Linked DNA regions of Mus musculus: region 1 is reported to be linked to region 2. Evidence: microRNA targets listed by miRTarBase, many of them from high-throughput screens and not tested one by one. Region 2 holds a microRNA gene; the other region holds the end of a gene's coding sequence.

The links. The annotated mature microRNA mmu-miR-3074-5p reads GUUCCUGCUGAACUGAGCCAGU and lies in region 2 at 2,838-2,859, opposite strand. An mRNA with a match to its seed (bases 2 to 7 or 8) in the 3' UTR can be bound and repressed. Matches are read on the target gene's strand: a 7mer-m8 pairs with bases 2 to 8, a 7mer-A1 pairs with bases 2 to 7 and ends in A, and an 8mer does both.
Region 1: miRTarBase lists Cnga3 as a target of mmu-miR-3074-5p. Seed matches in the 3' UTR shown: 7mer-m8 at 2,799-2,805 and 7mer-m8 at 2,782-2,788.

The regions. Positions count from the first base shown.
Region 1 is chr1:37,261,915-37,265,437 of GRCm38, reverse strand. It overlaps Cnga3 (cyclic nucleotide gated channel alpha 3), which reads right to left. Exons shown (of 6, transcript NM_009918.2): 6 at 2,054-3,523. The coding sequence ends at 3,342. Among named protein-coding and RNA genes, the nearest start is that of Inpp4a, 36 kb to the left of the region's middle.
Region 2 is chr8:84,206,036-84,210,203 of GRCm38, forward strand. It overlaps Mir3074-2 (microRNA 3074-2), which reads right to left and starts at 2,872; the gene lies at 2,790-2,872. Mir23a (microRNA 23a) reads left to right here and starts at 2,483; the gene lies at 2,483-2,557. It overlaps Mir27a (microRNA 27a), which reads left to right and starts at 2,637; the gene lies at 2,637-2,723. It overlaps Mir24-2 (microRNA 24-2), which reads left to right and starts at 2,780; the gene lies at 2,780-2,886.

The DNA.
Region 1 (3,523 bases), not on the chromosome of region 2:
CTCCAGGGCTGGGGTAGACAGCTCCTTTATGCACTTACCATCCTGAATAATGTCCACGTCTATTTCTGCTGATCTGTCTGTCCATGTAGTCACTCCCTCTGATACATGCTCTCTGGTAGAACATATTGTAGGTCATATATTTGTCCTTTGCCCTTGCATTCTGATAGCTCCTCTTTGTTGCTTTTAGGATCAAGGTCACAGTAAGCATTGGCTCATGTCTCTGTGTACCCAGGACATTGTCTCTTCTGCTTCTGACTGTGTACGTGTCTTCCCAGAAGCATACATCCCCAGTTCATCATTGCCTGATCTTTCTAGGGAAGCCATTGTTTGAGGAATGCACCCTGGGGCTGAATCTTCCCTTAAGACAAGAGCTGAAGCAGGAGACATTAGCACATTTTAATCCAGGTCTTTATCTTTCCCATATAAATATAGGTGCAGGCATAATTGATAGCTAAGGCTATTAAAATGTATTCATTGTCATAAATATTCAATGTTAGAGAATACATAGCACTGCAGATTACATTCTGCTGGTCATATGAAATTGAATCTATGCTCTTTAATAGACCTGGACCTTCTAACCATTTAAAAGCATTAAGCATCAGATGCCCCCACAAGAAATGGTCATGTGACCCACAAGAAGAGACCCAACTGCATAATTGAACATAGAGGTTGTTTTTTTTTTTTGTATGAAGTACATTAGGATTCAATTATAGATTATGGCATCTACCCATTGAGACTTCAATATTGTCCAGGAAAGGGTTGGGAGAAATTTGTTTCGTAGAAAGAAAGGAGGAGACGGAGGAGGAAGAGAGAAGGAAGGAAAGAGAAAAAGGAGCAAAGATGGGAAGGAAGAAGAACTTCCAGCCTGCATTTAAGTGAAGGATGGAACACCTAAGTCCTTGTTCACAGTCTCAGAACCCAAGGGCAAAAATGTGAATGGAGTTCTGGTTGCTAGCTTAAAAAAAAAAAAAAGTTCTTGCAATATGCAAGCTTTCAGCTAGCTAAGAGCCTGAGGATGCAGTTCCATTGGGGGCTTGAAGCTTTTTCAGGGTAAAGGTGCAGGTTACAAGGCCATTAGCCATGAGACTCAGCTTTTAAGTTTCACTTTTCAGCTTTAAAAAATATGTATTTTATGTGCATGGATGTTTTGCCTGCATGGATGTCTGTGTATGATGTGTGTATCTAGGGCCTAAGGAAGCCAGATGAGGGCACTGGATACCCAGGAACTGGAGTTACAGATGGTTGTTAGCCACCATTAGGGTGCTGAGAATCAACCCCAGCCCCTCTGGAAGAGCAGCCAGTGCTCTTAACCACTGAGTCATCTCTCCAGCCTTAGTTGTCTGCTCTTAAAACTTGGACCACTACCCCAGCTTTCCACCTAACAGTCTCTACTTACACATGGTTCTCTACTTAGAGCTAGAATGGGTGGTAACAGGTGACTCCAGCAGAACCAGGCTACTCTTGTAGTGACAGGTGGGGCTGGCATCCACTTTAGATTCCTCGGAGAAATCTCACCATGCGATGCCCTTTTCAGAGACTGCCCAAACCCAGGGCTTGCCGGTTTCTAGGAGTTCCCCGATTTCTGTATCATTGGCAGCCAGAAGTTCTTACTCTAAGGAGGGAGGCTGTCTTTGAATCCACTGAGAAATGAGAAGAGATGAGACATGCTGTCCCATCAAGTGGCCAGATGTCACAGTGGCTGGATAGCAGGGAATCTAGATTAGTTTCCCTGACTTGAAGGGATCTCCATTTTACAATGCTGTGATACTACAAAGTCAACATTTTCAGGGGCCCAGGATGCACCCATATGGGAAAATGCCAGGCTCAGAAACGTGCCCAAACTGTCCTGTATAAAGTTGAACTTAAGTTATAAGTTTGTGTTTATAGCTGCTTCCTGCTGTGTTTTGTGGTTTTGCTGGATGTTTTTGTTGTTGTTGTTGTTGTTTGGATTGAACCCAGAGCCACTGGCACACTGGGGAGCACTGACTTACATCCTCTTTGTGTCTTCACAATCAGATGGTGATGACGTGGGAATAAGGAAGGAGACTAAATATCCATTTATATATATCTTTAATTGTATTTATTATTTAATGTATGAGTGCTCTTTTGCACATATATCCACCTGCCCGAAGAGGGCATCAGATCCCCCTATAGATGGTTGTGAGCCACCTTGTGGTTGCTGGGAATTGAACTCATGACCTCTGGAAGAGCAGCTAGTGCTCTTAACCACTGAGTTATCTCACCAGCCCCGTAAGACATCCATTTATAACATAGCTAGGATAAGGGGCTTAAACATTCCCATGGATTTCATTAAAACAAAACAAAACAAAACAAAACAAAACAAAACAAAACTTATCTGGGTTGGAAACAGTGGAGTGTGCCTGTGGTCCCAGCTACTTGGAAGGCTGGCGAGGGGACAACACTTGGGCATGGGAGTTGAAGGCTGGACTGGGTAACAGAGCAGGACCTTCACCTCAATAAATATGGGAAGGACTACACGTTTGGATTTGTGCTGGTCGGATTTTTATGTCAACTTGACACAAGTTAGAGTCATCTGAGAGGATGACTGAGAAAATGCCTCCCTAAGATCCAGCTGTAGGCAAGTCCGTGGAGCATTTCCTTAACTAATGATAGATGAAGGAGGGCCTAGCCCATTGCAAGTAGGACTACTCCCGGGCTGGTGGTTCTGGGTTCTATAAGAAAGCAGGCTTAGCAAGCTAAGAAGAGCAAACCAGTAAGCAGCTCCCCTTTATGGCCTCTGCATCAGCTCCTGCCTCCAGCTTCCTGCCCAGTTTGAGTTCCTGCCCTGACTTCCTTCAATGATGGACTATGATGTGGAGTGTAAGCCGAAAAAAAAACCTTTTCTTCCTAACTTGCATTGGTTATGATATTTCATCACAGCAATAGTAACCCTAATGAAGACAGGATCCCAGCACCCATGCTGGGTAGCTTACAACAGCAGGTAACTCCAGCCCAGGGGATGCAACGCCCTCTCCTGACCTCCGCCGACAACTGAACATACCCATATGCCAACATAACTAACAACATTAGAATCATGTGCACATATGCTTATACACTGGGTTGGGAACTCTTCACGCTTTCCAAAGCCACAACCTTCGCCACCTCATGATAGTCTGGAACTTCTGGGGCCGACAGCCATGAGTCCCATTTCATAGGAGAGGAAACTAAGGCTCTTCCTTGCTGTCACACCACTCCCAAAGGATGAGTAGCACTGAGGCGAAACCACAGCCAAACCCTTTACCCCGAGGCTATATAGTGTCGCCCAGAGAGCTGGCCCCGGGGGGGGGGGGGGGGAGCAGGAGGCAGAGCCACCTGCATTTTCAGTCAGTCTTTGAAGCATCCTCGGAATTCTCCCTGTCAGGTGAGAAGCCACAACACCTCCTGTTCATCTGGCTCTCCAGCCGAGTGAGCCGCTGTTTCAGCTTCATCTGGGAGGCACTGTACTCAGCCAGGAGTCGGGCAAACCTCGTCTGCAGGATGTCCAGGGACGACTCCAGGTACT
Region 2 (4,168 bases):
TTCTACTCTCCTCCCTTTTGTGTGTGTGTGTGTGTGTGTGTGTGTGTGTGTGTGTGTACAGAGTGCAATGTCAAGTGTAGTTTCTCAGGATTGTGTGTGTCTGATGTCCTAAAAGGTGGGAGACATAGAATCTCCTGTAACTGGAGTTACAGATGGTTGTGAGCCACTGTGTAGGTGCAGGGAACTCAACCCAGGTCCTCTGAAAGAGCAACAAATGCTCTTAACCACTGAGCCATCTCTCTAGCTCCAACCTTGTTTTCTCAGAGAAGGTGTCTTACTGGGACATGGAGCTGGTGAGGCGGGCTGGTGGTGAGCCCTAGAGCATCTTGTGGCTTCCCTTCCCCAGCTCTGGAATTACAAGTGTGAATTGCCATACCTGGGGACAACACAAGCCCTTTTGCTTACATGGTGACCACTTTATTGATTGACCTATCACTGAAGACCCTGATGTTTTTTTTTTTTTTTTTAAGATTTATTTATTTATTATATGTAAGTACACTGTAGCTGTCTTCAGACACTCCAGAAGAGGGAGTCAGATCTCGTTACAGATGGTTTTGAGCCACCATGTGGTTGCTGGGATTTGAACTCCGGACCTTCGGAAGAGCAGTCGGGTGCTCTTACCAACTGAGCCATCTCACCAGCCCGACCCTGATGTTTTATAAAGAAGACGTGTGTGTGTGTGTGTGTGTGTGTGTGTGTGTGTGTGTGTGTGTGTTGTCTGGTCTTTGTGCATGACAGTGCAGTACACTCAGAGACCAGAAGAGGGAGTGAAATCCCCAGAAGCTGGAGTTACAGGTAGTTGTGACAGGTGCTGAGATCCAAACTCGGGCCCTCTGCAAGAGCAGTAGCCACTCTTAACCACTGAGTCAGCTCTTTATCTGAAACAAGGTCACTTGTGTCACTATGTAGCCCTGGATGGTCTGAAACTCCCTACACAGACCAAGCTGGCCTTGAACTCTTAGAGATAGTACTGTCCAAGGCCTGGTTCTTGCTTTCCTTTGCCTTTCAAGTGCTGGGACTAACAGTGTGCACCACCATTCTTAAGTTTATTTTTATTGTCTGTTTGTGAATGTTTGCTTACGCGTACGTCTGTGCACCATATGTATGCCTGGTACCCACAGGGGCCAGTGGGGAGCGTTGGAGCTCTTGGGAATGGAGCTATAGATAGCTGTGCTTGTCATGTAGGTTCTGGGAAAGAAACCTGTCATCTCTCCAACATTGAAATTCTTTAAACAATTTTTAAAAATTGTGTGTGTGTGTTCCCAAGTGCAGAGATCAGAGGACAACTTGCAAGGGTCCGTATGCTTTTCTTCTTCGTGGTTCTTGGGTTTGAGCTCAGGGCATTGGGCTCCATAGCAGCTCTGCTCACTTGCTGGATCAGCTTGCTGGCCCCTGAAAACTTTAACTGGCACGCAGGACACTACTCTACATTGGGTAGGCCCCAAATTTTGTGGCTTGCCCTGGTACTGGGTGCTAAATACCTTCTCTGTAAGTTTTCACTGGCCTTCCTAGTAGAAGGTTTGGGGTTTTGTTGTTTTATTTTTGTTTTTCTTCTATTTAAGACTAGGGTCTCAAACTGTAGCCCAGTTAGGCCTAAAACTCATCATGTAGCTTAAGCAGGCTTTTGACTCCATTCTTGGCAACCTTCCTGCCTCAGTTTCCTCAATGCTGAGATAAACGTGAGCCACCAACTGCAACTGTTGTAGTCTGCTTTACAGATGGGGAAACTGAGGCTTGGAAGGCCTAGGGGAAACTTTACTGAGGTGTTATTGTTGGGGTGCATCGGCCTGCTTCTCCTTGCTTGGGCCCTAGGTGGTGTGGGGTGGGGGTGGGGTTATGTCTGAGCTGGCTGGGGAGGAGAGGGCTGAGGTGGGAGGCCCTGGAGTTTCCTCCTGCCCTTCAGGCTTCTAGGAAGTGGCGCCAGCTGGGGTGAGGTCACTTCCTCCCTCCAACCGTCCACCTCCCTCAGCTTCCTCTCCATGGCCCCATTTGGCCTGCTTTGGGCTCAGGGCTGTGGGTGGGGATAGAAGCAGAGTGGGAAGCAGCTGGGAAGGCTCTGCAGCCCCTTTGGCCTTAGGGCTTCAGGCACCTCCCGCTTTGTAGGGCTGGGGTAGAGGCACTGCTGGGTGCCCAGCATCCAGCAGCCTCGCTCCAACCTTCCTACGGATCGATGCTCCTCTTTTTTGGGAATGCTTCTTCCCTCTTGGAAGTAGAGGAGGGCTAGGGTGTGGATCAGCAAGCTGAGTTTAGATTCTGTCCCCAGCACCACTTAAACTGTGTGTGGTGAGGTGTACCTATAATCCTAGACTCCAGAGGTAGAGGCAGGAAGAACTGGTGCATTCGGAAACCTTGTGTTCAGCTATGTGAGACCCAGCCTGGTCAAGATAGGCAGGCAAGCAAGAATGCTCCAATCTCACTGTCTCTTCTTTCTCTCTTTAGGTGCTACACTCCGCTCCCACCTGCTGCCCCCCTCACTGTGCCTCGGACGGCTGGGGTTCCTGGGGATGGGATTTGATGCCAGTCACAAATCACATTGCCAGGGATTTCCAACTGACCCTGTGCTCTGCCTTGGGGGCTCCTGTCGCCAAGGATGTCTGTCTTGGGTACTGGGTAACAGAGAAGCCTATCATGACAACTGGCCTGAGGAGCAGGGCTTAGCTGCTTGTGAGCAAGGTCCACAGCAAAGTCGTGTTCACAGTGGCTAAGTTCCGCCCCCTGGACCCCATCTCCTCAGGCCGCTGCTGCCCACCCTGCTCTGCCTCCTGGCTGGCAGGGCTCTGCCTCTCTCCGGGCTCCGCCTCCCGTGCCTACTGAGCTGAAACAGTTGATTCCAGTGCACTGGCTCAGTTCAGCAGGAACAGGAGTCCAGCCCCCTAGGAGCTGGCAACCCTGCAGAATGTCTGCCGTGAGCAAGACCTGGAAACAATGGGGTAATTAGTCCAACCTAAGCCCCGTTGTCTGCTGGAGGCTCAGCCTCTAAGCCTGCATCTGGGTGTCCACCTTGAGATTTCTGTGGTTCCCCAAAGCAGATAGATGGGCGGGTAACCCTTGCATTAAAAGCCAGTTATGTCCCCTCAGGGCCTGGAAGCCCTTCTTTTCCTAAGTCTGGTGGGGCTCAGGCACCACCCCTTATACATACCATCTTTGAAGTCAGTTACCCAAGAGGAAGCTGCTTTAGGCCCTCTAACGGTTAAATGCCAACTCTCTGCTTCCGGAAGAAGGCACTGACCTGATCCAGTGTGCCTAGCAATCCCATGGGGTCTGCAGCTTTCTGCTGGTGACAGCGAGGCAGGGAGCGAGGTCCACACAGGCCTCAGGATATGAACAGATCCATGCCCCCCCCCCCCATTGGCCTGTTGAAGTAATCTCCAGGCTTGGAAGTTAAAAAGTTGCCTACTACCCACAAATGAGACTGCATGCAGACTAATTGGAACTGGCTGAGTTACACTTCCCAGACCATACAGTGTCCTCTCCCTACTCTGGGCAGGGGCAAATCGAAGCCTGGGTGGAAGAACAGAGTTGAAAGCTTGTATTGAATGTTGTTCTCCAACTAAATAAAAGCTCCACAGCCTCATTCCGTAAGGGCTGACGTCTCTTCATTCCCGCCTCCCACATGTGTGTTGCTGGCTTTTTTCATTTCTCTTGAAACAGCATTTCTGTGTAGACCAGGCTGACCTTGAATCAAACTCCTCCAGTGTCTGGAGTTTGGGAATACCAGCTGCACCACTATATCTACCACACCCTGGGCTCCTAACCTGCATTGCACCTATCCCCAACCTTGCTCCACCTGCTTCTAGGAAGGTGTAAATATAGTTCTGTGGTCAGTAGGTGCTGCGACCTGAAGATCCTGGGATCCTTTGGGGATGGCTTGAACGGGAGGGATAACCCAGACCTGGGGTGTATGAGACCAATCTGTGGTCACCCCAGTTCCATGAGGGAGTATGTTACAAGAATGTACTCTGCCTATGCTGGGATGCACTGACTGGCAAGATGCCAGGGCTTAAGGACGGGCACATATGCGCGCACAGACAGACACGCGCGCATGCACACACACACACACACACACACACACAGGGCTTAAGGACGGGCACATATGCGAGCACAGACAGACACGCGCGCATGCACACACACACGCACGCGCGCGCGCCCGTCTACACACACACACACA